Linked DNA regions of Sus scrofa. The main gene of each other region encodes a partner of the protein of the gene in region 3 in a complex. Links are inferred from orthologs where the notes say so. Each region holds a gene or a part of one and is shown on either strand. Other genes may lie near its edges. The genes, in order: SNRPD3, SNRPD1, GEMIN4, GEMIN2, GEMIN5, SNRPD2 and STRAP.

Region 1 (4,517 bases), on a different chromosome or scaffold from region 3:
CTGCCCATAGAAAGCTCACTGTAAATATGAGTCATTACTTCCCTGAGTGAGGCTCAGAACATGCAAGTGTCTGGTCCAAGATCACAGAATTAGATAATTAGAGGATTAGGGAGGCCAATCCCCGGGTAACTCCAGACCCTACTCCTTGCTGCAGTCACAGTCAGTATCCTGCTGATTCCTTAGGGTCAGGCTCCCACATGCTCTTGACTTCTCCCAGGAGCTGGGACCTCACTTTAGAGTTTACCAGCACTTCCTTTCTCACCAACCCTGTGCCTTAACCAGAGCAGGAATTACTGCTCTCTCCCTCCCCAATTTAGCAAAGCAAACCGAGGTTCACACACAACCTGAGTTTTGGTTTCTGCCTGCAAGGGAACACAGGCCACCTGGGACATAAGGAACTAGAGTGAAGAACTCTAGCAAGACAAAACACTGAGTCTGGGAGGCCGGGGGGGGGGGCCTCCCCCATTGCTCTATGCTCCCTGCCAGTTCCCTGCCCTTCTAGGCCTCAGTTCCCCGAGGGGACAGGATCTCTCACGGCAGCTTCAGCAGGACTTTTCGCTTCTGGGGAAGCTGCCGCCCCAGCCTCTCAACCAGGACCCTCCCACCAAGACCGCCATCAGAGCTGCCTGGGGTTCCAGCCCTGGGAGTATCAGGAAACCCCAGCAGACCGCGGTTGGCGCTGCGGGAGCCAAGGCGGGGTGTACACCTGGCCAGACTTCACTCAAAGCTCTACAGCCTAGGACATGGCGGCCGTCGGTCCAAGGTCACGCGGCCGGACCCTGACCGCTGCTAGGGTGGGCCCCCCTGTTCCCCTGGATGAGGGCTAAGCCCTCAGGGAGCACTGACCGGGCTCGAGCGGCGGCCCCGATGCCTCCCCCTCCGTCCTCATGACGTGGGCGGCGCGGGGCTCCCATGGCCCCGGCCCGGCGCCGGCTGCAGCTTCGGCCTCGTCTGGGGCGGGAGCGGGGCCGCTAGTCCCCGGGTTCCTGGGCCGCCACCGCCACTGCCAGCACGGTGGGGAGAAGGGGAGGCGGCAGCTGGGCCGCCCCAAGCCCCGCCCCGGCCCTTCCAGGCCTTGGCCCGCCCCGTCCGCCCTGGGCCCCGCCCCGGCCCGCCCCCGCCTCCTCTGGCCCTCAAGCCCTCAGGCTCCCAGGCTCCTGTCTCCGCTGGTCCCGGCCGCTCAAAGTGTCAGCTCCCAGGGTTGCCGCCCCGACCTCCGAGGCCTGGCGCGGACGCGCAGCCCTTCCCGCCCCGCTCCCCGGAAGCCCCGCCCAGGCCCGGGAGTTCCACGAACGCGGGCTCCCCAGAGCCCCCGGCAAGCTCCGCCTCTGCCAGGTCCTACTCCTCCGCCAGCCTCGGGGCCGGGAGACCCAGCCCCACCTCGACTCTCTTTGGAGGGACGGCCGAGGGCCGGCACCCGCTCTGCTCCTGTCTCCCTCTCCGCTCAGGGGTCCCTTTACCTGGCACTGCCGGGTTCCGAAGGTTAAATTGTGAGGGGAGGTCCTGGCCCTCGGCCCCACCGCTGCCTCCCCCGATCCCCGCCTCGCCGTCCAGCCCGTCGCCGGTGTGAGGTGTTTGGAAAAGCGAGTCCCTCTCTGCCCTTGCCGGCCCGAGGGTCGGTGTTTCCGGCGGCACCTGGGTCCAGTCATCAGTCTTCCGGGGCCGGAACTCTTGAACCACAGACCGAGTTTCCCAGCCGGTGGGGTGAGGTGGAAGCGAGGACGAGACCGCGCTCACCACTGGGAAAAGGAAGAGGGCGGGCCCTGCGCGAGGCATTTTGGGAACGCGTGGTATTCTGGGAGCGCGGGACCCGCCATTCGCTTGTCTCACGCTTCGCAGTCGGCAGAGTCGCGGCCGCACCGGGAAGGAGGAGGAGACCTCAGGCGGTGAGGGGAGGCTGGGGGCGGGCGTGGGGAGGCCGAGGCACTCGGAGGAGTAGAGGGTTGGAGAAGGACGCGCTGCCGAGGAGCTCCGCGGGGCTCGCCGAGGGACAGGAGCGGGAAGCCGGGCCACCAGACAGTGTCGCCTCACTAGCGCTTGGAAGTGAGGTCGTTAGCTTTTCCTTCAGTTTCCATACCTCCCCAGGCCAGTGTTTTTCGAAGCATCCAGGCAATGGTCTTGAGGTCGTTTCTGGCTAGTTGCTTCCTTCCCAAGTCCTTTGCTTCCCTGCCTCCATCCGCCCCCTCATGCTTTCTACACCGTTACACAAGCTTCTTTCAAGTTTCCCTGCATCTAAGCTGTGTTCGAACCATTTTGTAAGTGCTGCTGCCTTTCCCAGGGATAATTCCTTCCCTATAGTCCTGCCGTGGTTCTCCCATTGCGTTCAGCATAAAATCTACACTTCTGAGGCTTCTCACGAAGGGCGCCTGTCTCTTTCACTGCTCTTCCTTTTTCTCTTTATGCAGGAGATGTATTCCACCTTTCAGCTGACCATTTTGGAATTTAAAAACCGACAGCTTTCCTCTTTTAAGGTCAAGTCAGGCTTGCCTTGATTCCCTTTTTTCTCCAAGATAAGCATTTCCTGTGTGTAGCACATTATCACTTTGTGAATACTTTGATATTTTCTCTTTAACTTTGATGGTGAAGTAAATGGAGAGTCAAAGAGCACTTACTGGGTTGAATTAAATGCATGGACTCTTCTTGATTTTAATTTTCGTTCTTTTTTTTTTTTTTTTTTTTTTGCCACCCTGAGGTATATGGCGTTCCCTGGCCACGGATCAGATCCAAGCCATGGTTTCCACCTTCCTCGAAGCTGCAGCAACCCACTATGGTGGGCCAAGGATCGAACCAGTGTCCCAGGGCTCCAGAAATGCCTCAGACCACATTGCGCCACAGCTGGAGCTCCTTATTTCATTTTAATTTTATTCAATTTCAGAACTTGCAGTGGTTACTGTTTTGGACAGCTCAGGTCTACGTCCTACGTTCTCAAGGTGATGTTACCCACTGCTTTGGGTTAACAAGTACACCTGCCTTCCAACCCCCTCTGCTGCAACATAGTTATTTGATAAAGATAAAGGGACCTGTGGTAGCAGGGAGATGAGAGGCAGTCTTTTCATTCCTGTTAGCTTTCCCTCTGTCTAGCCCCCCTGTTCCTCCCCACCCAATCTTGCATCTTGTTTGCTAGATATGTTCTTCAAGCTGGGGTTAAGCTACTTTTTCAAGTTCCTTTGGGAGTTCCCTTCCTGGCTCAGTGGTTAACGAACTTGACTAGGATCCATGAGAATGTGGGTTTGCCCCCTGGCCTTGCTCAGTGGGTTAAGGGTCTGGCATTGCTGTGAGCTGTGTAATCGCAGATGTGCCTCAGATCCTGTGTTGCTGTGGCTGTGGCATAACCCAGCAGCTGTAGCCTCTATTCAACCCCTAGCCTGGGAACTTCCATATGCTGGGGGCGCAGCCCTAAAAAGCAAAAAAAATAAAGTTAAAAAAAAAAACACGCCTTTGGCATTTTTGCTGAGTGTTACAGAGTGTCCAGCCTTGAGTGAGGCTTGTGCCACATGCCTCTCAGGCCCTGAACCATGAACTCTTATCTCTCTCTCTCTCTCTCTCTCTCTGTAGAATTCTCTTCCTGCCGAGATGTCTATTGGTGTGCCGATTAAAGTCCTACATGAGGCTGAGGGGCACATTGTGACCTGTGAGACGAACACGGGAGAGGTGTACCGAGGGAAGCTCATTGAAGCCGAGGACAACATGAACTGCCAGGTATCCTGCTTTGCACATGAGCCTATTGGGGGGAGCTTGAGCCTGTGTCTTGGAGGACAGAAAGCTGGTGATTGAGGGTCTTTTTGAAGTTCTCATTCAGCAGTTACTGAGAGCTTAGTGAATGCCAGGCACTGTTCCAGATACCAGGGATGTGGGCATAGGTAAGAGCCATTTGGAATATTTAATTTTGTCCTTTGTTTCCCAACCCCATAAACCGTTTTCTCCCATATCTCGGGGCCTGTTTAAGAGAAGTAGCACAATGTTCAGTAGAACCATTAGGTTCAGGGTCGCTAGTAACTCATCCCTACTTGTTTGCCCATTGCTTTGCAGTTTGCATACCATGTGGTTTGGATACCATATGTAAATCTTCCACTTATATATGGTAGTTATTTGCCATTCTTCTTGGGGGAGGTATCTTCTTTGATTGCATTTATAGCAGCTACCCTGTGAGGTAAGAAGGTTTTGATGATAGCTTTGTCATCCATAAAATGGGAAAGATAAGATTAAAGGACTTAATTACTGTACTTACTTGCTAATAAATATTGAAGCCATTTCTTGACGTGGTGCCCTTCTGATGGCAGTACTTTGATTTTGCTAATAATTATGTGAATTTGTATAGCATCACTTTACAAAGTGTGTGACACTTTCTTAAGAGCTTGGGCTTTGGAATCAGATCTGGATTTGAATCCTGATTGACCTTGGAGATGTTAGTCACCTCAGTTTTCTCATCTCTAAAATGGAACAGAATTAGTTGTACAAGAAAGGTATTGGGGGAGCTGACAATAAAGGATAAGGAGCAGGAGAGCTTTACGTCTAAG
Region 2 (4,415 bases), on a different chromosome or scaffold from region 3:
GAAGAGACTACGCTGAGGGTAAGCCAAGAAGCACTCCAGCATGTAATGGCTCAGGAGACAATGAGGCAGCCTAAGGAGACCTAGAAAGAGTCATTAGTGAGATTGAATTAAAACCAGGCATACTTGGCATCCTGGAAGCCAAGAAAGGAGCATGTTTCAAAGGAGAGTGTCTGTTTTGAATGCTGCTGAGATGCTGAGTAAGAGGAAGACAGAAGTTTGTATTGGGTTTTTGATCACCATTAGAAAAGCAATCTCAGTGTATTTGAAGATCGAATTACAAGGCAATAAAAACAAGTTATAGACAGCTCATTTAAGGAGGTTTTCTGTGGAAGAAATCTGGTGGGAGCTAGAGCTGCATGAGAGGAGAATTTTTTTTTTTTAAGACCTCACCTGCAGCAAATGGAAGCTTGAATCAGAGCTGCAGCTGAGGCCTACACTACAGCTACGGCAACACTGGATCTGAGCTGCATCTGTGAACTACGCTGCAGCTTGTGGCAACACTGGAGCCGTAACCCACTGAATGAGGCCAGGGATAGATCCCACATCCTCATGAATACTAGTCAGGTTCTTACCCTGCCGAGTTCCCACAACTGGCACTACAAAATTTTTTCTTTCTTCCTTTCCTTTTTTTCTTTTTCCATTTTTGGCCATCTCCGAGGCATATGGAGTTCCCAGACCAGGAATCAGATCCAACCTACAGTTGGAACCCACACTACAGCCAGCTGTAGCAATGCAGGGCTGGACATCAAACCCGCGTCCTGGAGCTGCAGAGATGCTGCCCAATCCTGTTGCGCCACAGTGGGAACTCGTTGCTTGTTTGTTTTTTAGATAAATTTATATGTTGATAGAAAAAATCAGTAGAGAAGGAGGAATTGATGATTCAAATTAGAAGGGGATCATTGAAGGAGTGAAATTCTTGAGGAAATGAGATGGGATCCAGACTACAACCAAGAGGAATTTGCTTTCCAAAGGAGCAATAATACTTCTATCGTTGTCACAGAAAGGGAAGCAGAAGGATGGCTTCTGTTTTCTAAAAGTAGGATACGTTAGAGAGTGATTTGGGAGAAGAACTGTAAAAGGTTTGAGATAAAGAGAAGAAAGAAGGTATGAAATACTTTGTGAGCTTATTAGAGAAGCATAACGATCTCTGGGCAGTGCAAGGGACACTTTTGAGGTTTGTGACCAGAATTTAAAGTGAAAATAATCAGTTAAATTGTATGATTTTCTTCAGCACATTAAGTAACGCTGAGATACCTGGTGGTGGAGCATAATCCTTTGGGATTCTCCAATTATTTCCTTTCATTCACGAGAAAATTTGGTGCTACATAATACCCGGAGCCTTGTTATGCTCGCTAATAGGATTTAATTTCCTGAAATACTCTCTCTTACAGGAAGTTTCCTCCTGGATCGGCCCTAAACGCCCTTAACAGTTGCAAGGCACACCTCCTGCCGCCAGAGGCCGCACTGGCGCTACTCGCGGCCGGAAGGGAGAGTGGCCCAAGCGCAGCCTCGGCGTTTCCGCCGTGAGTGCGCAGGGATCCGCGCGCTCTTTACGTCGATCCCCGGGAGTAAGCGTTTCCGGTCATTCATTCTCCCTGCGGGTCGGCCTCTGCGGTGGGGTTTTGTGTACTATCGGACCGAGAGGATGAAGCTCGTGAGGTGAGGAGGTGACCGAGCAGGGTGGGTACTATGAGGGGATGTCCTGGACCGGGAGCGGGGGGGTTGAGCTGCCCGAGATGCAGGAGGCGCGAAAGCCGCGTGCGCGCGCGGCCTGCTAACGGCCTTCGGCGCCCGCCGCTCCCGCCCCATCTTGGTCGCGTCGCCGCGGGCACTCGACCAGGCTTCAGACTGGGTCGCCCAGGGATCTGCGGGTCTTCCGAGAGGTTGAAGGCCGGGCGGTGTTTTCCCATCAGGTGTCTTAGAGGCCTTAAAAGTACAGAGCCAGGCTTACAAGCTCTTACTTTCGGTGAGTTACAGACTTCCGTTTCTGTTAGAACGTTTCTGGCTCGTCTCAGCACTCAGGAACCGGCAAATTTAACTAGGTCCACGCTTCCTGAGAACGTGGGAGACATAAAAATTGTACATCCTGCACAAGTAGTTTAAATTAATGCATATTTTTTAATGAAACTACCGTCACACTTAAAAGAGTACTTAGAAGCTGCAGGGGTTTATCTGGAGATAATGAAATCCAATTCCGAAGTATTTTAAATCAGGGATCAGGGATGGACTTCTGATTTCCTGAGGTTTTTTTTTTTTTTAATAGTGTTTTTTTTCCCTCTTGTTGTTATTCCCTAGCCTTAAGATTATTCAACTTACATTTCCCTTTAAAATAGCCCTTTGATTTAGGAAAAAACCTCTCAATATGGGGTAGAATCACTCTTCCGTACTTTTTGGCTGATTACACAGATAATCGAGATTTATTCTGTTTATTTCTGTATTTAAATTTGGTCGATTAGTTGAGCCTGCTGAAGACTCGTTTACTGGTTGAGCTAATTCATCACAAAAACTACCTGCAAATAGATTGAGTTCTGATGTTTCTCCTTGAGGCTGAGAGCCTGGAACATAGAAGCAGAGGCTTTTACAACTCAGCCGGCAGTTATAAACTAGCTTAACTAGTTTATTGTCTGTTGAGTCAAGAATTGTCAATGTCGACCAAATAGTTAAGCACATGGAGTTCTTGGACCAGGGAACACATCCTAGCTGCATTTGCAACCTACTCGGCAACTGCAGCAATGCTGGACTGTGCCGGTGGGGATTGAACTGGGGATCGAACCTGCATCCCAGTGCTCCAGAGACGCCAAGAATCCCAGTTGTGCTACAGCAGTAGCCCACCCCCCCCTTAAAGAGTCCTATGTTGTAGTAGCGTTCGTTTTGCAGAGAAGATAGACAAGAAGATAGTTTGAGATAACATAAAGAATCCTCATTGTCATATTCAGGCTGGTGTTTGTAGAGAAGGCATTTAAGATTGACTTTTTGTCTATTTTTTTCCCTTCCAGTTTTATTGAGATGTAACTGGCTTTCAGCATTGTGTAACTTTAAGGTATATAACATAATGATTTTTTTTGGCCGTGCCAAAGGCATGTGGAAGTTCCCAGGCCAGGTATCGAACCTGTGCCATAGCAGCAACCCAAGGCTGCAATGACAACACTGGATTCTTTCTTTATTGACCAGCTGCACCACGAGGGAACTCCCACAGCATAATGATTTGATTTACGTACATCATAAAGAGTGTAGTGAACATCCATCATCTCATGTAGATATAAAATTAAAGAAATAGACAAAAAAATTTTTTTTCTTCTGATGAGAACTCATGATTTACTCTCAACAACTTTAATATATAACATACAGCAGTATTGATTACATTTATCATATTGCATATTACATTTCTAGTTCTTACTTATAACTGAAAGACTTTGTCCATTTTATTTGAGGTATAACTTTGAAGGTAAACATCTCAGAACTTAAAGTTTATTTTTTTTTCTTTTTTTTAGGGTCACATCCACGGCATATGGAAGTTCCCAGGTTAGGGGTCTAATCAGAGCAACAGATGCCAGCCTACGCCACAGCCACAGCAACGCCAGATCCAGCCATGTCTGCAGTCCACACCACAGCTCATGGCAACGCCAGATCCTTAACACACTGATCGAGGCCAGGGATTGAACCTACAACCTCATGGTTCCTAGTCGGATTCATTGTAGCTGTATCCCGACAGGAACTCCTAAAGTTTATTTTCTTAATGTCTGAATACTTGCCAGTCAGAGTCTTAGTATAGATAATACTCTTTGGAGTCTTTTGTCCCACTTAACGATAGTCCATGTTGTGACAGAATTTTCCTATAAAATTTTTTTTTTTTTTTTTTTTTTTTTTTGGTCTTTTCTGGGGCCGCACCTTCGGCATATGGAGGTTCCCAAGTCTAATCATAGATGTAGCCACCGGCCTACGACAGAGCCACAGCAACTTGGGATCCAAGCCGCATCTGTGATCTACACCACAGCTTATGGCAACACCAGATCCTTAATCCACTGAGTGAGGCCAGAGATTGAACCCGAAACCTCATGGTTCCTAGTCGTGTTCGTTAACCACTGCACCACGACAGGAACTCCTCCTATAAATATTAATGCTGTACTGAATCCTATTCTGTGTCTTAGACTATAGAAGCAAAATTCCTAATAATTGGAGAATGTATTTTGCACTGGGAAAATGGGTTTTGTATAACTAGTTTGCTAGGGATCCAGTCTGAGCTATAGCCAATGGCCTGTTCCACAGCCACAGCAACATAGGATCTGAGCTGCGTCTGTGACCTATACCACAGCTCATGGCAACGCCAGATCCTTAACCTACAGCAAGGCCAGCGATGCTAGTTGGGTTCACTAACCGCTAAGCCGTGAGGGGAACTCCTTGACTTAGCTCTCTCA
Region 3 (2,879 bases):
TGGTCGACGTGGGCAACCCCGAGGAGGTCAGGCTGTTCAGCAAGGGCTTCCTGGTGGCCCTGGTGCAGGTCATGCCCTGGTGCAGCCCCCAGGAGTGGCAGTGCCTCAACCAGCTGACCAGGAGACTGTTGGAGAAGCAGCTCCTGCACGTCCCCTACAGCCTGGAGTACATTCAGTTCGTTCCGCTGCTCAACCTGAAGCCCTTTGCCCAGGAGCTCCAGCTCTCTGTACTCTTGCTGAGAGCTTTCCAGTTTCTCTGCAGCCAGAGTTGTCGGAACTGGCTTCCCCTGGAAGGCTGGAGCCACGTGGTCAGGCTCCTGTGTAACAGCCTGACCGGCCTTCTGGACTCAGTGAGGCTGATCCAGTCCGTTGGCCCTTGGGCCCAAGGACAAGAGCAGGACCTGAGCCAGGAAGCCCTCTTTTTTTACACGCAGGTGTTCTGCCATGTCCTGCACATCATGGCCATGCTCCACCAAGAGCTGTGCGAACCACTCTACGTTCTGGCCTTGGAGATCCTCACCTGCTACGAGACCCTGAGCAAGACCAACCCTTCCGTTAGCTCCTTGCTCCAGAAAGTCAACGAGCAGCGCTTCTTAAAGTCCATTGCCGAGAACATCACCCCTGAGGAGCGGCGCCAAACCCTGCTGCAGAAGATCAGCAGCTTCTGACCTCGGGGATCAGAAAATAGCTGGGCCTCACCCTGGCGGGGTCTGCAGGCCCTGAGCTGAGAAACGCAAACTTTCCAGGTACGTGACATTGTACAGAAGCCCAAAAATGTGACAGTAGCAGTGCAAAGAAAATAGTTTCTTAGGTATTTGTAACATACAAATTATAATAAAATGCTCTCTGGAGTTTCATCTTGCCTCTTCTTCCCCCCCCCACCGCCTTCCCCCACCCCGCCCTTTTAGGGCCACACCTGCTGTGGGACTACGCCACAGCCACAGCCACGCCAGATCCAAGTCACATTTGCAACCAACACCACAGCTTGCGGCAGCGCCCGGTTCTTTAACCCACGGAGCGAAGCCAGGGATCAAACCCGCATCGTCAGGGATGCCGTGTCGGGTTCCTACCCACTGAGCTGCAAAGGGAACGCCCATCTTTCCTCTTTTGAGCCTTTCTTATCAGTGGTCTGGGCTCGGCAACACACTCTGAACTCGGGCTCAGCCCGTCTTAAAGATCAGGTCAGGCCGGGAGGAACAGCATCGTAACTGGCCTCCACCCGAGAGTTTGGCAGGTAAGTCTAAAGGGGGAACCACCCAAGTGGCCCCATCACAAGGGCGGTGTTGTGTACTGGGACTCGTTGTAAGAGTCGTTTGAGGGCTCTTGGAAGGGGCAGCAACTACGGAAAGGACCCTCCTCTGCCCCCAGGCGGCCCTGTGATTGGTGTGTCTCCAGGGCCTGCAGCCTCTGTGAAAGGAGAGGGTTGGACCAAGAACATGAGATGTTGGGGGGCAGATCAATGACCTTCAGAAGATGCCCCACAGAGTTGACCGCCCCCCCCGTCATTCAGTGGATCCCCAAGGGCCTGTGCTGAAACTGCCTGGTAAACACAGCTGAGGCGTGTGTAGGGGACGGGTGTAATTATCTTCTGCCTCGGATGGGTTGTCACAGTTTAAAGAATGAGCAGGAGCAGGGATGGTGTGCAAAGATGCGTGAAAATGAGAATTTCACGTGCCCAGCATCTGTGACAGAGCTATGAGGACTGGCCGGCAAGGTGTCTACCTGGGAGGCCAGGAAGGACAGGAGGAGCCCCGTCCCGGTCAGATCCACGCCCCGGTCAGAGCGAGGGCCTGTGCACGTTTCCTCCCCCCCTGCAGTGGGCTGGCTCCACGGCCTCCCATTGGCTGTGCGCCCTCCGGACAGACTCCTAGTTGGGATTCACCTGGGAAGAGAAGGGCCTAAAGGTCCATGATTCCACTGGGCCTGAACTCTGGAACGCTGCCTCGTCTTCCCAGAACCAGAATTACAGGATCATGTTCAAGAGAGGTGTGAGTCAGGCCCTCCTGGAGGCTGGAAAGCGCTCACACATCCCCCGCCCCGGCAGCCGGCCCCCCTGCCGCTTAGATGAGAACTCAGGCCAGAAACGAGCAGACGGCAGCCATTCACGTTGGGTCACAGGATGGATCTTAGAGTTGGTATGGCTGTATTTCACAAACGAGAATGAGTTGGAAAATATTAGTGCAATTTAATCACCACAGGAGTGATTTATCAGGATACACTGATGGTAAACAAAACAGTAAAAAAAATTACAGCATTTTATGATTTTTAAATGGCACCCATTAAAGACTGAAATAGTCAAAATCGAAGACACTGTTACACATTCAGTACTTTAAAAGTTCACGAACAACAATGGATTAAGTAAAAGGCACTTTTAAAAACCTAGTTTTTTAACTACCTCTTGGGGAAAAACTTCATGGTAGCGGGTTCTAAACCCCATCCTTGTTAAGGGACATTTAGTGTTGGCACCAGAGTATCCTCTTTGCAAATGGCAGGTGAAGAAGTCCGTCCAAGGACAGGTTTCGGCCAGGGCTGTCTTGCGCTCTTGCCCTCCAGCCTCCTGGGGCCACGCGGTGGTAACTCAGATAGGAGCAGGCTTTGGACCACAGGCTCTGGCTTATCGGGAGGCAGTCTAGCTAAGATATCTCAGGGTTTGGGGTACAGAAGTCCTTTCTGCTTCATATGAGAAGGACAATGTCAAAGAGGGGGGTTACGCAGCAAATAGTGCAGTAGCTGTCACTTGCTGTTACCCTGGAGTTTTCACAAGAGCATCCTGCGTGTGTCGATCCGGTGAGAAGGCTTGAGGGACACACCAGAAAGGGAACGGTATCTGTGGCGTGTTTACAGCAAGCTCACAAGCTTGACTTTGGTCTTAACCGAGG
Region 4 (3,958 bases), on a different chromosome or scaffold from region 3:
TTGGACAGCCCTTTAAGTATGTGGAATATGTAATCATGTCTCCTTCCCTGGGATTCTCATCCTTTATTCTTGTAAGCATTCTTAGTGTCCCATATCAGCTCCTATCTTTATCACCCTCTTTTGAACACACTCTTGTTTGTCACTGTCCATAAAGTATGATTCAAACTATAGAGTTCCCATTGTGGCTCAGTGGGTCAAGAACCCAACACAGTGTCCGTAAGGATGCAGGTTCGATCCCTGGCCTCCTTCAGTGGGTTAAGGATCTGACATTGCTGCAAGCTGCCATTGTCACATTCGTGGCTCATATCCTGCATTGCTGTGACTGTGGTGTAGGCCTGTAGCTTCAGCTCCGATTTGACCCCTAGCCTGGGAACTTCCATATGCTGTAGATGCAGCCCTAAAAAAAATAAAATAAAAAAATAAGTAAATAATAAAGTACAATCCAAACTAAATGCTGGTGTGACCATCAAAGTCTGAGATCAGGGTGTCGGTACATTTCTCTTCAGGCCTCTCTCTTTGGTTTCAGATGGTCATCTTCTTGCTTTGTCCTCACATAGTCTCCTGTGTGCACACACATGTGTAATAGCTCTCTGTCCACATTTCCTCTTCTTATGGATGCAGGTCATTTTGGATTAGGACCTGCCCTAACTACCTCATTTTAACTTAATTGCTGCTATAAAGGCCCAGACTTCAAATAATCACATTCTGAGGTACTGCGGGTTAGGACTGCAGCACGTGATTTTTAGGACTACACAGTTCACTCTTTCGTAACAGGCAGTATATCTTTGTGTTGAGGTGGTGGGGATACAGAGGAATTCTCACTTATTTTTTTCACTGTTGAGTATTTTCTTTAAAAATTATATAGGAATAACTAAATTCTTCTTCTTTTTTCTTTGTTTTAGCCAAAATCTGAAGATGAAGAAGGCTGGAAAAAATTTTGTCTCGGTGAAAGGTTATGTGCTGAAGGAGTTACTGTTGGACCAGCTGCAAGTGAAAGTCCTGGAATTGATTATGTACAAGTAGGTGATAATGTGGCTACACAAAGAAAAATTATAATTTCAGTGCATGATTTCATGTAAAGACTCAGCAAACTGCAGTCTAGGCCAAATCCAATCTGCAACCTGTTCTTGTCCAGCTCATGAGCTAAACATAAAAACTTTATAGTTTTTACATTTTTAAAGGGTTGTTAAAAAAAATTAATAATAATGTGACTTAGACAGTATATGGTCTACAAAACCTAAAATATTTGCTGTCTGGCTCTTTACGGAAATTACTTGCCAATCCCTAACTTAGTTCATTGGCTCTTTGACTTAAAAATTGATAGCCTCATTTATAAAACAATGTACTGTGGCTCTTTTTAGGTTAGCTTCATATCTCTTATGGTTTAGCTTTTTAATAATTTTGTCAGATAGGATTCTTTTTTTAAAAAACCATTAGGCATGAGTCAAACAATGAGTTATAAGTAGTCAAGGAAACAAAGTTAGGTGCTTTAAAATGTTTATTCATAAATTCATATTCTGGAGATTAAATGTTGAGGGTATATTTTAATTTCACGTGACTTTATTTTATTTTTTTTGCTTTTTTTAGGGCTGCACCCGTGGCATACGGAGGTTCCCAGGCTATGGGTCTAATCAGAGCTACTGCTGCTGGCCTACACCACAGCCACAGCAATGCAGGATCCAAGCCACGTCTTCCACCCACACCACAGCTCATGGTAACGCTGGATCCTCAACCCACTGAGCGAGGCCAGGGATCAAACCCACAATCTCATGGTTCCTAGTTGGATTCTTTTCCACTTCACCACAATGGGAACTCCAATTTCACGTGACTTTTATTTTAATCATAAATTATGTAGCTATCTGCTTCTTGTCCTTTAGCATTCGCTTGCCTTCAGCATTCGCTTGCCTTCAAGTGTGCAGATGTTCCAAGGAAACTCACTGTATTCATCTGCATTACTAGTAACTCCTGAAACTATGTTGTTCTGTTGAATAGATATTTATCATTTTCTGTGTGGTGCCACATTGTGTTTTTCCTATTAAAATTAGTTTTAAAAAAATAAATAAATAAATAAAGTAAAATTAGTTTAGCCCCAAAATGTAAAGCTCCAAAAATCACTGAAAAACACCAAGAACCCAAATTAAAAAAAAAAAAAAAAAGGCAAAGAATATAAAGGACATCTCACAAGAAGGAAATACAGATTGTTCTTACATGAGAAGATGCCCAGACTCACTTATGATAGAAATTTAACTTATAATTGCACTGAGCTGGTATGACATATTGGTAAAGAAAATTTGATACACTGAGTCAACAAAGGCTAGGAAGACAGGCACTCTTACACATGGTAGTGGGAGTGTAGACAGATTCAAATCTCTAAGGGAGCTAATTTGACACTGTTTCTTAGACAACTTATGTTCTTTGGGATAATATCCATAATATATTTTAATTTGACACAGAATTAAAATATATATAGTTCGTTATTACCAAATACATACAGGTGAGGGAGTTCCCATTTGGAGCATTGGAAACAAATCTGACTAGTACCCATGAGGATGCAGGTTCGGTTTCTGGCCTTGCTCAGTGGGTCCATGGTCCGGCGTTGCCACGACCTGTGGTGTAAGTTGCAGACATGGTTCAGATCCCGCGTTGCTGTGGCTGTGGTGTAGGCCGGCAGCTATATCTTCGATTCAACCCCTAGCCTAGAAGGCTTCCATATGCCACGGGTGCACCCCTAAAAAGAAAAGAAAACAAAACAAAACCCAAAATACATACAAGTAAAGCATATCATGTGAAAGAACAATTTAAGAACATAAAAGTTTAATGCATGTCCTCAAGTTTCGCACCAAGTCAGGACTGTTTTCATAATCCAGGCTTCCCGCATTAAATTCCAAAGCACTTTCTTAAATTGAAGCAGACTAGGTTTGAAAAAACTCATTCAAGTGCCTTTAATTCCTGAAAATAATAACTTTAGCTGAAGATTTTGAAAAAGTGTATACAACATATTAATGTCATAGTATCATTTTTTTCAGTTTCACGTTTTAACATCTTAATTACTAAAATCGTTCTTTGGTTTTAATTTACGTGTTCAAATGTTAAGACATTATTTTCTTGGGCATTACCAACATAATAGCTCATGGAATATTTTATTGTAATGGACAGTGGAGAAATTTTTCTTTTATCTAGTCTTTGTTCTTTAATAACAGTGTGTTGAGAAATTCACCAGTTTGGAAAAAAAAAAAAAAAAATGAAGCCCCCTCCTTGTAATACTATTTAGTAAATTTCAATTTAATTTTTCTTTCAGATTGGTTTTCCTCCCTTGCTTAGCATTGTTAGCAGAATGAATCAGGTAAAGTCTGTCTGATAATAAGAATGTTAAGTGTTCTTTTGTTTGCAATGTGTGTTAAAATATTTAAATAATTTGCTGAATATTTACAGTATGTAAGACCCAGTTCTAGACTTTGTAACAGTTCTTATTTAATCCTCACTACAACCCTTTATGGGGGATTATTATTAATACCTATTTTTTTGTAGCTGAGGAAACAGAATTAAAGTCACTTGGTGGTTTTTCAGTGAATTTTAATGGTGACATTGGGACTCAGCCCCAGGTTGATCTGATGTTAGAACTCATGCTCTTGATCATGGTGCTAAACTATTCACATATATACATTTTAGTTATAAGTCTTAGATTCTGGGGTTTGAAATAAATACTGAGATCAAAAAGGTGTTTCTAGTTCTGGATGACCTACGCATTTCACTAAGAATGAAATTTGAATTTCTTGGATCAAAAGGGGAGAAATAATGGACTTCAGTCCTTCAGTCTTTCAGGAACTGTTACCTATTTAAAGAGCAAATAAAAACTTTTGATTGTTTTGCATTCACATAGCATAGAGTACCAATGTAGATAAATTTTTTTTAAGAGTCATACTCTGTTGTAAATCTGGAGTTCCTGCTGTGGCACAGC
Region 5 (3,958 bases), on a different chromosome or scaffold from region 3:
TTTGTTTATTTTTGCTTCTGTTTCTTTTGCCTTAGGAGACAGATCCCAAAAAATAGCCACTGTGATTTGTGTCAGAGTTCCCTTCTAGGGAGTTCCCTTTGTGGCGCAGTGGAAACAAACCCAACTAGTATCCATGAGGATGCAGGTTCTATCCCTGGCCCTGCTCAGTGGGTTAAGGATCCTGCGTTTCTGTGGGGCTGTGGTATAGGTCGCAGACGAGGCTTAGATCCCACATTGCTGTGGCTGTGGTGTAGGCCTGCATCCGTAGCTCCAATTTGACCCCTAGCCCAGGAACGTCCATATGCTGTGGGTGTGGCTCTAAAAAAAATATAAAGTTCCCTTCTAGGAGTTCTGTGCTTTCATTTCAGGACTTTTATTTAGGTCTGTAATCCATTTTGAGTTTATTTTTGTATATGAAAGTGAGAAAATGTTATAGTTGCATTCTTTGACATGTAGCTGTCCAGTTTGCCCAGTACCACTTACTGAAGAGCATTAACTTAATTCTTAAGAACAAGGCAGGTCTTTGTCTACTGTAATACTATCACCCTGGTTTGTTTTTTATTTTATATCTACTGAATGATAGAAAGAGGGAAAAAAATGGCCAGAATCTACTTCATTTTACCCTTACATTCTTATACATAAATAATTCATACTTAGAGGAAATTTGTAAGAATAGTACGAAGAACCCCCATATACCCTTTCACAGATTCAACAACTTATAACACTTCATCATATTTGCTTTGCTCTCTGTGTATTTTTTCCAAACTGTGTTGCATGTGTCATGCCCCCATATCCCTTAATATTTGTATATTTTGTAAGAGTGAAGATATTCCCATATATAATCACGATTCCATTATAGTTTCACTTAATTTAATGTAGTAGTTTGATCTACCATGCTTATTCTTGTGTTGTCAGCTGATCCAGTATTGTCTTTTATATCTAGACCAGTCTCTCAGCCTTTTCTTTTTTTTTTAATCTTGAATTTTTTGAAGAATACTGGCCAGTTATTTTATAGATATCCCCTCAGTTTGGTTTGGACTCCTGTTTTCTCATGACTAGGTTCACGTTACACACTTTTAGCTAGAGTGCCATACACATGACGGTACATGCTTGCTATCCCATCTAAATGGTATTGTTTTCTCTGTGATAGCTTTAGAAAGAATGATAGCTAACACTTCGTGCAGTAAGCCCATATGCCAGGCACTGTGGATATGCCCACACTCTTAACTGCTAAACAGTCATTTCCCACTGAAAATCATGTAGAAAGCATGTTGCAAAATCTCGACTCTCACCTTGTTAATACGCTCTTTTATATCTTTCTGTTGTTACTGGTAAAAATGACATCATCCCCTTGTCTTTTAGAGAGCAATCCTGAATCTCCAGTGACCATCACAGAGCCCTACCGGACCCTCTCAGGGCACACAGCCAAGATCACCCGTCTGGCATGGAGCCCACATCATGACGGAAGGCTGGTGTCTGCTTCCTATGATGGTACCGCTCAGGTACTATTGCATCCTTGACTCTGTGGGTTCTTCACCTTGTACTCTAACTGAAACGCCTTCCTCTTTCCCTCCGTTTTGTACACATTCCTTCCCTCACCGATGTCTTCTATAGATACTCTGTAGAGATTTTTTTGCACTCTAGAGGGCATTTTAGTTAAGCCTGTCTGCGCCCTTGGCAGGCTAAGTTTTGGGTTTATTTTGATTTTGGTGGTGGTTTTCTTTTTCTTTTTCTTTCTTTCTTTTTTTTTTTTTTGCTTTGATGAAAGGGGAAATATTAAAAGGAATAGCAAAATTCTGATGTTTTTAAATATTTCATTCTGACCTACTGTCATTATGGAGTATGTGATGTAAAAAGTACTCCTTCCTTTTCAAACACAGAATGGTGACTATACCTCATAAAAAAATATTCTGTTAATAAATTGGTAAGTCAGATCTCCAAGTTACCAGAATCAGAGTAGACCTTAGAAACTGGGGATCTATCATCTGCGATGGATGTCTGTCTCAGTACTACTGAGTGGTAAATGAGCTGTCTGCCCAGAGCTGAAAGCCATGAAGGGCTGCCCTTTGTGAAATGGAGACTGGAGTAATTCAAGAAACAGCAAGGAAATGATCATTTGCCCAAGAATTGGGGACAAAAGAAATTAGAACCCTAAGAATTTATCACACATGAAAACGTGGGCTCTGAATTAGAATTCTCTTCATGGTTTCAGAATCCCCAGCCCAAAAATAATGACAATACGGGTTCAAGATAGTAAAATCCATAAGGCACCATTAGAAGTTTACTCAAAGTCAGCCCCATGGATGTGCCTCTTGCCCCAGAGCACAAAAGCTTCCCATAGGAAATAGTACTCTCTGAAACTCATCTCCTCAGAGAAAAGAACAGATCACAAGAGGAAATAAGAATACACAGATATAAAAAATTTTTGCAAAATGTCTATACACCCCCCCACCAAAAAAAAAATTACCAAAAATTATCTATTCTCTTGTGTGGCTTTTGGTTTTAGGTGTGGGATACCCTCCAGGAAGAGCCTCTGTACAATTTCCGTGGACATCGAGGTCGACTGCTTTGTGTGGCTTGGTCCCCGTTGGATCCAGACTGCATCTACTCAGGGGCAGATGACTTCTGTGTGTACAAATGGCTCACGTCCATGCAAGAACATTCCCGGCCTCCTCAAGGTCAGTCAGAACCTGGAGCATGAAGGCTTGCCTAATTCAGTAACTGAACTGATCAGAGTCAAGCAGGGAAGACATTCGTGCAGTGTGGCGGCGGCAGTGTGGTAGGGGGATGAAGCCCACACAAAGATGGCAGCCAGGAGGGGCCTGAGGACAATACGCAAGTACACCAGGCATCCACATCTTGCTTTCTAAATATTATTCTCAGTTAAAAGGGAACCCCCAGCCAGGGCTTCTTGAAGAAATGGCTAATTCCAGGTTAGGCCAGGAGAAATTCAAGACGGGCCTACAGCATCAGCCTATGCCACAGGGAAGGAAGTGCTCAAAGAACTGAGATGTAGCAAAAGAGCAAAGAAGCCAACCTGAAGGGGCTGCCTCCCCAAATCTGGGATGATTTGAGTTTGTAAATAATTAGCAGGAGAATTCCATTTCTGACCATAAAAGATTAACTGGTGCCAGATTTGCCCACCTACCAGACACAGCTAGAAAACTAGACATAGTATATAAGCAACTAGAAATGTATACAAAGAAATGATATCTCCACAAGGAGATTTTTTAAAAGAGTGCTCATAGCTTTATCTGTAAAATCGCCACAAACTGGAAACAACCCAAATGTACATCGGCTGGTAAATAATTGTGGTATATCTCTATAGTAGAACTCTGTTCAGGCATAATAAGAACGTAACTACTTATAAACACAACAAAATGGATGAATCTCAAAAAAAGAGTATGCTGAGCAAAAGAAGCCAGGCCCAAAAGACTAAATATTTTATAATTCTAATATAGAACATGCAATAGTTATATGTCATGTGAATTTCTAAAACAGACAAAACTAAATTTACAGTGATAGCATGTCAGTGACTGCCTGGAGTTCAGGGAACATTTTGAAATAATGTAAATATTGTATTTGTGGCATTAGGTTACCTGACTATTCGTTAGTCTAAACTCATAAAAGTATTAAAAAGTGCATATATTTTCTGGTATTAAATTATCTCGATAAAGACAACTTAAAAGCAAAAGGTAAAAACTTAAAAAAATAAATAGCAATGGGAGTTACCGTCATGGCGCAGTGGTTAACGAATCTAACTAGGAACCATGAGGTTGCGGATTCCATCCCTGCCCTTGCTCAGGGGGTTAACGATCCGGCGTTGCCGTGAGCTGTGGTGTAGGTTGCAGATGCGGCTTGGATCCCGCGTTGCTGTGGCTCTGGCGTAGGCCGGCGGCTACAGCTCTGATTCGACCCCTAGCCTGGGAACCTCCATATGCCACGGGAGCGGCCCAAG
Region 6 (4,407 bases), on a different chromosome or scaffold from region 3:
CCACCGCAATCCTGATGGGAGAAATCGAAGCCCAACGAGAGGAAGAGACTTCCAAACAGCTGACTTTAGGATTAGAACCCAGAACTCCCAGGCTTACTACTCCAGACCCTTCCTCTTACGGTGCAACCGCTATTATAGAAAAAGCCCGAAGCCTCATTGCATTGGAAAGGGGCATGCGCTCTAACGACGAAGATCGCGGCACCTGCGGCTAGGGCCCCACGATAACGATAAAGCCACGTCAACCTGAGACTTTGAGGAGGGGGAGGCGGGGAATAAGGGCTCCCCTGTCCCCGTCCGGCCTCACCCGCATCTCCCGGCCCAGAGGCAGCTCCTCAGTCTGGCGGTGCCAGCCGCTCCAAATGGTATAGAACACCGAGGCCACCGCCAGCGCCAGCAACAGCAGGGGCAACAGCTGCGCCCGCGGTAGCAGGCGGCGCTTGGGCGGTGAGGGTGGCTCCAAAAGGCCGCGTTCCCCAAGCCGTAGCCGGGGCCGCCCGCGGCCCCCTGAACGCATGGCAGCTTCGCCCTGAAACCGGTCGGGGACTGCGGATGGAGTTTAGGCCAGCCAAGTCCCACCCCATGGAATCACCGGACCAATAAGCAACAAGAGCGGCTGCACCAACCCACCCTTCAGCAAGCAGTAAAGCCAATGGGGACTTTCGTACTGAGGACACGCCTCCCTGTCTCCCTGAAGCTTAAGGGTTGGTTCCCCTGAGGGTTGCACAACCCAAAAGGGAGCGCGAAAGAGGTAGGCACCGCCTCAGCGGAAGAGGGGAAGCCAATGAGAAGCATTTGATCCTAGAAAACAGCCGACCTCCTGGGCGCGGGTCCACGCCCCTCCCGGATGTAAGCAAAGGATTGGTTATTCCAAGTCCAAAGGATTAACAAACACATAAACGGACGGTCCCCTAAGTAGAAGAGGAGGTATCCATCCCTGAAGCGAGGAGCCGATTGGCTTCGTGGATGCCGCGCCCCCGAAGGCAGGGCCGGCGGGCATTTGGAAATGGCTTGTCCTTTCCCTCCTTCAACCTGTGCGGTTCTACAACGAAATGGTTTGAATAAGTCCTGCTTTCTCTTCCTCTCCATCGTCAATATCTGCCCGGTACAGTCCTGAATGGCCTCAAAGTAGTACGTAAGAGTTTTACCCTACAGCCGCCTGTGGCGAGCAGAGATCGCTATGGCAACAGGCCACGCCCCACCCACTAGCTGTGTTTGCGCAAGCGCCCACGGAAGTGGGCCTCAGGAAGCGGAAGTCCCGCCCTTCTCGCTCCTTTCAGAGGGCGAAGAAGCAACGCGGAGACGGTGGTGACTGGAGTGCGCGGTCGCGACAACTACTGCCACCGCCATGTGAGGCCGGGCTAGGCTTAGGTGGCAGGAGTGGGTTGAGGGTGTAAATCTGGCCACTTGCCGGTGGAAGGGGGTGGGCAGAGCCTGGGGCGGAAGCAAACATTTTCGGGGTAAAGTGGCGTACGTTACCGATGAGTTTGAGAACAGATGTGGGGCCTTTTTCGGATCCTGACTTTAGGAGCAGGAGCAGCTTTATCAGATAACGGGCTGGGCTTTCCCAAATAATTAGTCTTACTGAAGCGAATGTTAAGGGGAAGCGATGTACGAAAATGGAACCTGGGAGAGGGGAGTACGGACATGTGGGGAAGAACGATTTGAAGTGAGGATCTTATCAGGGTAATTTGAGCTGGAGACGGTTAGCCTTTTGACCTTATTCGTCGTTATCATGGGTCTCGAGTTATCGGAAGGATTTTACTTACGTATTCATGCAACAATTATTTATTGAGTGTTCATATGTCAGGCTTCTTTAGACACAGAATATGTTAGTGAATTACCCCACTCCCCCAAGGGAAAAAATTCCATTTTGCATTTTATGGGTTGGGTTGAGCCAGGCAATAAATGTAAAGGTAAAATATATGGTGTGTTAGGTGACCGGGGCTATGAATGAAGAAACAGTAGAGCAGGGTAAAACAATGTGGAATGCCAGTTTTGAGAGACAGGACACATGAAGAAGGGAGCAACTGGAGCAGAAAGCTGGAGAAAGTGAGCGCACAAAGATATTTAGGGACGTATCCAGGTAAAGGGGGAAAAGCAAATGCAGAAGCCTAAGAAGAAAGTTGCTGAAAATCTTCCAAGACACCCCTCTGGATGGAACGGAGTGAGAGAAGGCAGCGGATAAAGGGTTTTTACTTTCTACATTGAGATAGGAGCCTCAAGAGAGTTTCGCAGAGTGAGATGATATGACTTGGACCTTGGCACCAACCAGAGACTGCTCTGTGAAGAGCAAACTTGGAGAGCATGGGTGGAGGTAGGGAGACCATTACGGCTCTAGGAGAGAGTCGATGGAGGTTAAGCCATGGTGAGAAGTGGTCAGATTCCGATATATTTGAGAGGCAGGGATGATGGGATTTGCCAGCAGATTGAATGTAGGATGTGAGAGTAAGAAGAGTCAAGTTGACGTTAGAGGTTTTGCTCAAAGACATAGCAAGATGGAGTTGCCATGGATGGAGACGAAGGCAGCTGTAGGTAGATTAAGTTTGGGGGTACCGCGGGGCCTGGTGTTCAGCCTAGGACGTGCAAGCTTGGAACTGTCTATTAGGCAGCTGTGTGGTGATGCTAAGAGAGAGGACTGAGCCGGAGGGTGGGTGTGTTGGGGAGACAGTGAGCGAGAGGGCATGACCACCCAGGCTCTGGCTCCAGGCCCTGTCACCTATGAGTTCCATACTTGCCCACTCAGGAGCCTCCTCAACAAGCCCAAGAGTGAGATGACGCCAGAGGAGCTGCAGAAGCGGGAGGAGGAGGAGTTTAACACGGGGCCGCTGTCCGTGCTCACACAGTCGGTCAAGAACAACACCCAAGTGCTCATCAACTGCCGCAACAACAAGAAGCTCCTGGGCCGCGTGAAGGCCTTTGACAGGTGAGCACCTGGGTCTGGGGAGGTGGTCTGTCCTGGCCTGGAGAAGCAGTCCCAGCTCTAGTCTGAGGAGCCTGGATTCTAGGTTTCTTAGAAGCCTGGGGCATAAGCGTCTGAAGGTGGGGTTCCTGTCATGTCTCAGTGGTTAACGAACCCAACCAGTATCCATGAGGACACAGGTTCGATCCTTGGCCTTCCTCAGTGGGTTAAGGATCCGGCATTGCAGTGAGCTGTGGTGTAGGTCGCAGGTGTGGCTCAGATCCCATGTCTGTGGTTGTGGTGTAGGCCGGCAGCGGTAGCTCCGATTTGAACCCTAGCCTGGGAACCTCCATATGCTTCCGGTGTGGGCTTAAAAAAAAGAGTGCCTGTTGTGACGGTCTCTGTTGTTCCTCCAGCTGTAAAGTTCAGCCATGGACTTGGGGGCCAGTCCTGGAATGATGTCCTGGCTCTGCCTCTTAGCAGCCGTGTGACATTCAGCAAGGGACCATATATCTCTTCCCTACAATGGCCGTAATCTTGATGGTTGCAAAGATTCAGTCACTTAATATATGTGAAGCACAGTCAGTCCTTAGGAGTAGCGCCCCCGGCACACGGTCTTCCTCATCAGTTTTCTCAGTTCGTGCACAGTGGCCTCTGCCCTTGTGGGGTACTGTCTTAGGCTCCAGAGATGCCATGGTGACTGAATCATACATGCCTCCTGTACTCAGGGGAGTCTACAGCAAACACATAATGTGTCAGGAAGACAAGTGATGGCAAAGTCTGTGCAGAAGAGTAGAGCCAGCTGAGAGTTTGGAGTGTGGAGAGGGAGTGCTGCTGTCCTCGGTGGGTCATGCAGGAGGCCTTCTAGGTGGACAGATGGGGATAAAACGAAGGTGCAACCTAGGGTCTGCATGTTTCAGCCATGGGGAGCAGCAAGTGATTTTTCCTCTCTGGGCCTCAGTTTCCTTATCTGCAAAATACTATGCATAGAATAATACCCCTCAGAACAGTCGTAAGGGTCAAATGATTTTCTGTAGGAAGAGCACTTAACTCAGTACCTAACATGTGGCAAAGGCTCAGTAAACATATGATCGGCAGGAGTTCCCTTTGTGGCTCAGCGGTAAATGATCCCTACTAGCATTCATGAGGGCGCAGGTTCGATCCCTGGCCTTGCTCAGTGGGTTAAAGGATCCGGCATTGCCATGAGCTGTGATGTAGGTCACAGAAGTGGCTTGGATCTGGGGTTGCTGCGGCTGTGGTGTAGGCCAGTGGTTACAGCTCCGATTCAACCCCTAGTCTGGAACTTTCATATGCCACAGATGCTGCCCGAAAAAGACAAAAAAACCAAAATAACAACAACAGCAAAAAACCATTGGCAGTCCTCAGCATCAGGGAAGTGCTTTCCTCTCGGCAGGGGGGTGAAGCTTACCTCTGGATTGCTTTTGCCAATGGCTACTGTGGGACCAAGAACAAAGCTTTCACTCTGAGCCTCAATTTACTCTTGAGTA
Region 7 (4,746 bases), on a different chromosome or scaffold from region 3:
AACAACAACAACAACAACAACAACAAAAAAGAATTATACGTACTTTAGAGACAAAAGTTTTCAGTTACCTACGCACAATAAGCAACAAATGGCCATGTATTAACATCTTACTGACTAGTTGTTCTAACGAGTTTTATCTTTTATTTAGATGCCTCCATCATTAACGCTTTACTTTACTTAATAATCACTTGTCCAGCATTCACTAAATGCCATTCACTCTTCTGATACCAGAGTAGAAAGACAACAGTGCCACACAATTGCCACTAAGGAGCTCACAATTTAAATGTCAACAGAGTGTGTGTGTGCATGTGTGTAGGAACTTGGGGTGAGGTTGGCACAGAGAAAACAAAAAAGATAGTGGAAAACATATATAGTAAGTGCTGTACTATAAATTAATGAACAAAATGCTAATGAAATAGAATGGGGAAGCACTTCAAGTCTCCATTCAAGTAATTAGACTTGAACGAAGATACATGTTTACTACAAAAAGATGAGGGAGAGGGAAACATTTGCAGACATTTGTGCTGATTAGATATGTATTGGTATGTGCCAAGACATTATGGCCTGGGATAAAGTAGTGAAAGAGACCACAAAAAAAATCTCTGGTATTTTCTGTTGACATCCTAACAAGCATTAAAGGAAAGAAATAACTTGCCCAGAAAAAGGACCCTTCTTGCTCAGGTCAGTTTTTGCATGAGCAATCAATCCATCAACAGTTCTGCTACACCACGGAGTGATATCCAAAGAGGAGAGCCTGCAGGAAGACAACACCAGTATTTCTATTTACACTGAAGTTTAAGGTTCTTCTAATATTTCTATTCTTCTCTATGCACTAATATGCAAATAACTCACAAATTATTCACTATCGCATATTTGGGGGACGGACGCAAGTTTTATTGATGTGGGTATTCATCAAAAAATTTGAGGACCATTGCTCATGGGTCTCCCAACGTCCTCAAAAGATAAACTAATTTAACTGTTTTTAGAGTCGCATAACCCTCACGTCTGAAACACTAACAATGCAAGGTTACACAGCACAAGGGGTGACTGGGAGAAAGACTTTTCTTAAGGGCCTTACTTGTAGACAATCCCAGAGGAGCTGACTATACAACTGCTAACAAAGATTGGAAAAAAAATTCTTAGACGGTGTTTGCTGGTTTGGGCCACCGCTGGAAACAATTCTGGTTGTTCAGTGTAGACGTCTAGATAGCACAGTCCAAACCACTGGACGGCTCAGTGCGTAAACCACAGATGCGGTCAGATTCGGGGTATGACTGAAGCAGGACCCGCTTCCGCACGCCCCCAACTCGACTCCAAACGGCTCAAAAACAGAAAAGCACCCCAAGCTGCTTAGAGCTCAGCGCTAGGATTTTCACCCAGTGCCTGGAACGCGGCCAAGAGCCCTGCGTAGCCAGCGTGGAGCCAGCATCACGTGCTCAACCTGAGCTGATCTCGCGCCTGCGCATTGCGGTCGCTCTCGCTCCAGTACGCCTCTTCTACCCAGCGAACCCGCCTTCCCTCCTGTTCGTCACTTCCGGCGGAGGGTTAGTGTCGTCACTTCCTGCGAGTACCGGTGTGGACGGTGGGGATCGTGGCTGCCGGTTTTCCTGTTCTCCCCCTCCCCTACTCTCCTCCCTCCCTCCCTTTCCCTCCCTCGGCGGCGGTCGACCGCCAGTCGCACACTCCCTGACCCACCCCTAACCCTTTCCTGGTTTCGGGGCCACCAGATTGGCCTTTTTCTGTTTCCCGGCCCAGCGTCAGGGCGTAGGCCTTGAGTGAGAGGCGCTGCCGCGGAGAAGAGAAAAGACGAGACGACCCTCAGCTCTCCTGCGGGATCGCTCGGCTCGCCGCCGCCATGGCAATGAGGCAAACGCCTCTCACTTGCTCCGGCCACACGCGGCCTGTGGTGGATTTGGCCTTCAGTGGCATCACGCCTTATGGCTATTTCTTAATCAGTGCTTGCAAAGGTGAGCAGGGCCGCTGGGCTCAGATGGTTGGGACTGGGCGGAAAGGGAGTGGGGCCGGCACTTCCCATTGCCGAATGGATTGCGGCTTTTGAGATTAGTGGGCTGGTAGGGCGAGTAGTGTTAAGGATTGCGCAGCTGATGCCAGGAGAAGCTTTGGTAAGTTATGCCCCCAACCAAGGCTTCTCATTTTACCTTTTTTGCTATTTCTGGATAAGCTTTACTGTGCACTTGCCCAGACGCCCCGGCCAACACCGTAAATATCTTTAAAGGATTTGGGGAATGCAGAAACTAGGCCAGGCTAAGTAACACTTTATTTTACAAAGACTTTCCACTTCTACTATTTCATTGGATATTCTTCTGTGGTATGGAATTTTTCATTTCCAATTTTCAAGTGGAAGCTGAGACTATTAAGTTTGTCCAAAATAAGGTTCACGTCTAGATTGTTTTGTTGCAGATGAATAGTCTTTCTGCCGCATTTCAAGTCCTTCCCAGAGAGAATGGCCCAGTTCTTCAGTTAATTTATTTCTGGATGTGCCTTAGTGACCCCAGTGAGTGAACAGTTAGACAACAAAAGCAGTTTTCAAGTTTGTTATTCATCACTGTTTGTTTTAAGTTCGGATCCTAGATTTTAAGTAATTTGAGCTTCTACATCACATGTTTTCTTACATATTTTTTAGATGGCAAACCTATGCTACGCCAGGGAGATACAGGAGACTGGATTGGAACGTTTTTGGGTCATAAGGGTGCTGTTTGGGGTGCAACATTGAATAAGGATGCCACCAAAGCAGCTACAGCAGCTGCAGATTTCACAGCGTAAGTGTAGCCAGAAATGGCCACCTTTACAGTTCTCTGTGAATTGTGTTCTGAAATGATCAATAATAAAAGTTCAGTAAAAGTTATTCATAAAGTTCTCATGCACTGCCTAACGTAGAGAACACATGTTGTTTTGATGTCACCAAAATTCCGCCCATATTTTATCTGCTGCTTTCTCAAAATGTTCAGAGACTTAAATGACTTAGTTCTGTATGTCTGGACTGGGACCCAGGAATCTGCATTATTAACAAGCACTTCAGATAATGAATGTTGATGGTCATGCTGGCAAATACTGCTCCACATGTTCTAGCTGAATAATACCTTATACTCCTTAACTTCTTAGTGCTTGATGCCCCACATTTTTAGCCCAGTTTCACTCTCATTTTTGTTAGACATATTTAAGATTCCCAAACTCAGTTATTTTTCATTTTCTAAGTTTCTAAATCATTCTTGATTTTTCTCTTCCATCTAGATTATCATATTTGTTGATTCTGCCAATAGAATGTTTCCTGACCACATTGTTTCTTGTACCTCTGCCACTACCTTAATGGTTTAGGTTCCTAAACTGGTCCTTTCCCATCTCTTCATCAGCCAGTTGTCTTCCTGGAGACAAATAACATAACACTTCTTTACCTAAAGATCTTTGCTTCTGCTTTGTCAGTGGCCCATGACCTTGGGTGTACATTACAGTAACCTGGGAAGCTTTTAAAGTACTCAGATGCATGTGTCTGAGAAGCTCTGGCTTAATTGGTCTGGAGTTGGAGTTCCCAACCTAGGTTTTTTTGTTTTTTAGTTTTTTTTCTTCCCTAAAGTTTTTCTGGATGATTCTGATGTACAACCTTAACCACTAGCCTAAAGGTTAAATTTCATTGTTAGCTCTTTAAAATTTGGCCTAATCCTAGTTCTTGGGCATCATCTGGCACTACACATCATATGCCCCATCATTTGGCTATACTAAATCTAACTGTTGCCAGAATATGCCTTACCTACTCTGATTTTTTTTGCTTTTGTATATGATATTAAAGTGACTTGCGATGACCCACTTTCCCTATCTGGGCATGGGTCACAGCTTATGTAATCTTGGTACCTCTAGTTCCTGATTGTGACTTAGTAAACAATAAAGTGTTTAAGGCAGGCAAGTCAAGGGCTGTTGTACGTGGAATACTCCTTATTAGATTTGAAAGTCTGGAGAGTAAAATTGTCTTGTTGATTTTTTTTTTAATAGAATTTCACATTAAGAAGCGATTCTAAATGTGTTTCTCCTTTGTTGTAAGCAAATTAAACATACCAAGTTTATTATAAAAAATGAAGGCAGATTGATTGAGATAGTGGATACCTGACTGTGCATTTGTTGAAACTCTAGACCTCTGTACCACAGAGTGAGTTTTACTATATGTAAGTTTTTAAAAAATAAATTTAAGTTTTAAGGAGTTCCTGCTGTGGCACAGTTGGGTTAAGAATCCAACTGCAGGGCTCAGGTTGCCGCAGAGGTAGGGTTTGGTCCCAGGTCCCTGACAGTGGGTTAAAGGATCTCACGTTACCGCTGCTGGCTCGGATTCAATTCCTGGTCCAGAGACTTCCATATGCTGCAGGTGCAGCCATTTAAAAAAAAAAAAAAAAAAAAGTTTTTTTGTTTTTGTTTTTTTAAGTAAGGAGAGGGAAATATAATCCCATGCTCATGTGAGATTACATTTGAGATGGTGAGAGATCTATAAGAAAAGTTATAAATGTCATCCTGAGCTTTTTTCTATGCCTTCGGTAAATAGATGTTACTCTGTCTTTAGGCATAACCATTGTAAGGCTTTGCACTTTGACCTGTTGTGATTGTATACAATTCTGATAAAATAAGGAGCTGTTTGGTTTTATGTCAATCTCTTAATGTCAACACCTTCAGGATGACATTGGTTGCTTCTAGGACTTTTGTGTCTGCTAGGAGTTCAGTTTTCTTTGTTTTTTTGTTTTGTTT

What was found.
Region 1: GEMIN4 (region 3) and SNRPD3 share a complex: the UniProt entries of both Homo sapiens proteins name them as parts of the SMN-Sm complex. The link is inferred for Sus scrofa from reciprocal best matches to the Homo sapiens genes GEMIN4 and SNRPD3.
Region 2: GEMIN4 (region 3) and SNRPD1 share a complex: the UniProt entries of both Homo sapiens proteins name them as parts of the SMN-Sm complex. The link is inferred for Sus scrofa from reciprocal best matches to the Homo sapiens genes GEMIN4 and SNRPD1.
Region 4: GEMIN4 (region 3) and GEMIN2 share a complex: the UniProt entries of both Homo sapiens proteins name them as parts of the SMN-Sm complex. The link is inferred for Sus scrofa from reciprocal best matches to the Homo sapiens genes GEMIN4 and GEMIN2.
Region 5: GEMIN4 (region 3) and GEMIN5 share a complex: the UniProt entries of both Homo sapiens proteins name them as parts of the SMN-Sm complex. The link is inferred for Sus scrofa from reciprocal best matches to the Homo sapiens genes GEMIN4 and GEMIN5.
Region 6: GEMIN4 (region 3) and SNRPD2 share a complex: the UniProt entries of both Homo sapiens proteins name them as parts of the SMN-Sm complex. The link is inferred for Sus scrofa from reciprocal best matches to the Homo sapiens genes GEMIN4 and SNRPD2.
Region 7: GEMIN4 (region 3) and STRAP share a complex: the UniProt entries of both Homo sapiens proteins name them as parts of the SMN-Sm complex. The link is inferred for Sus scrofa from reciprocal best matches to the Homo sapiens genes GEMIN4 and STRAP.

What each region holds. Positions count from the first base shown.
Region 1 is NC_010456.5:49,583,999-49,588,515, forward strand, and holds the start of SNRPD3 (small nuclear ribonucleoprotein Sm D3), read left to right. Parts: upstream 1-1,488; 5' UTR 1,489-1,886; intron 1,887-1,919; exon of another isoform or gene 1,920-2,048; intron 2,049-2,875; exon of another isoform or gene 2,876-2,930; intron 2,931-3,555; 5' UTR 3,556-3,573; coding exon 3,574-3,699; intron 3,700-4,517. Other genes in the region: protein GUCD1, read right to left, coding at 847-889. UniProt on the Homo sapiens protein: Plays a role in pre-mRNA splicing as a core component of the spliceosomal U1, U2, U4 and U5 small nuclear ribonucleoproteins (snRNPs), the building blocks of the spliceosome.
Region 2 is NC_010448.4:106,796,700-106,801,114, forward strand, and holds the start of SNRPD1 (small nuclear ribonucleoprotein Sm D1), read left to right. Parts: upstream 1-1,501; 5' UTR 1,502-1,645; coding exon 1,646-1,659; exon of another isoform or gene 1,660-1,680; intron 1,681-1,891; exon of another isoform or gene 1,892-1,966; intron 1,967-4,415. UniProt on the Homo sapiens protein: Plays a role in pre-mRNA splicing as a core component of the spliceosomal U1, U2, U4 and U5 small nuclear ribonucleoproteins (snRNPs), the building blocks of the spliceosome.
Region 3 is NC_010454.4:47,114,397-47,117,275, forward strand, and holds the end of GEMIN4 (gem-associated protein 4), read left to right. Parts: coding exon 1-668; 3' UTR 669-2,303; downstream 2,304-2,879. UniProt on the Homo sapiens protein: The SMN complex catalyzes the assembly of small nuclear ribonucleoproteins (snRNPs), the building blocks of the spliceosome, and thereby plays an important role in the splicing of cellular pre-mRNAs.
Region 4 is NC_010443.5:169,682,488-169,686,445, forward strand, and holds part of GEMIN2 (gem-associated protein 2), read left to right. Parts: intron 1-902; coding exon 903-1,019; intron 1,020-3,298; coding exon 3,299-3,343; intron 3,344-3,958. UniProt on the Homo sapiens protein: The SMN complex catalyzes the assembly of small nuclear ribonucleoproteins (snRNPs), the building blocks of the spliceosome, and thereby plays an important role in the splicing of cellular pre-mRNAs.
Region 5 is NC_010458.4:68,302,961-68,306,918, forward strand, and holds part of GEMIN5 (gem-associated protein 5), read left to right. Parts: intron 1-1,362; coding exon 1,363-1,502; intron 1,503-2,506; coding exon 2,507-2,678; intron 2,679-3,958. UniProt on the Homo sapiens protein: The SMN complex catalyzes the assembly of small nuclear ribonucleoproteins (snRNPs), the building blocks of the spliceosome, and thereby plays an important role in the splicing of cellular pre-mRNAs.
Region 6 is NC_010448.4:52,039,339-52,043,745, reverse strand, and holds the start of SNRPD2 (small nuclear ribonucleoprotein Sm D2), read left to right. Parts: upstream 1-1,271; 5' UTR 1,272-1,345; coding exon 1,346-1,347; exon of another isoform or gene 1,348-2,246; coding exon of another isoform or gene 2,247-2,314; intron 2,315-2,743; coding exon 2,744-2,923; intron 2,924-4,407. Other genes in the region: QPCTL (glutaminyl-peptide cyclotransferase-like protein), read right to left, coding at 305-514. UniProt on the Homo sapiens protein: Plays a role in pre-mRNA splicing as a core component of the spliceosomal U1, U2, U4 and U5 small nuclear ribonucleoproteins (snRNPs), the building blocks of the spliceosome.
Region 7 is NC_010447.5:56,733,676-56,738,421, reverse strand, and holds the start of STRAP (serine-threonine kinase receptor-associated protein), read left to right. Parts: upstream 1-1,532; 5' UTR 1,533-1,855; coding exon 1,856-1,967; intron 1,968-2,644; coding exon 2,645-2,780; intron 2,781-4,746. UniProt on the Homo sapiens protein: The SMN complex catalyzes the assembly of small nuclear ribonucleoproteins (snRNPs), the building blocks of the spliceosome, and thereby plays an important role in the splicing of cellular pre-mRNAs.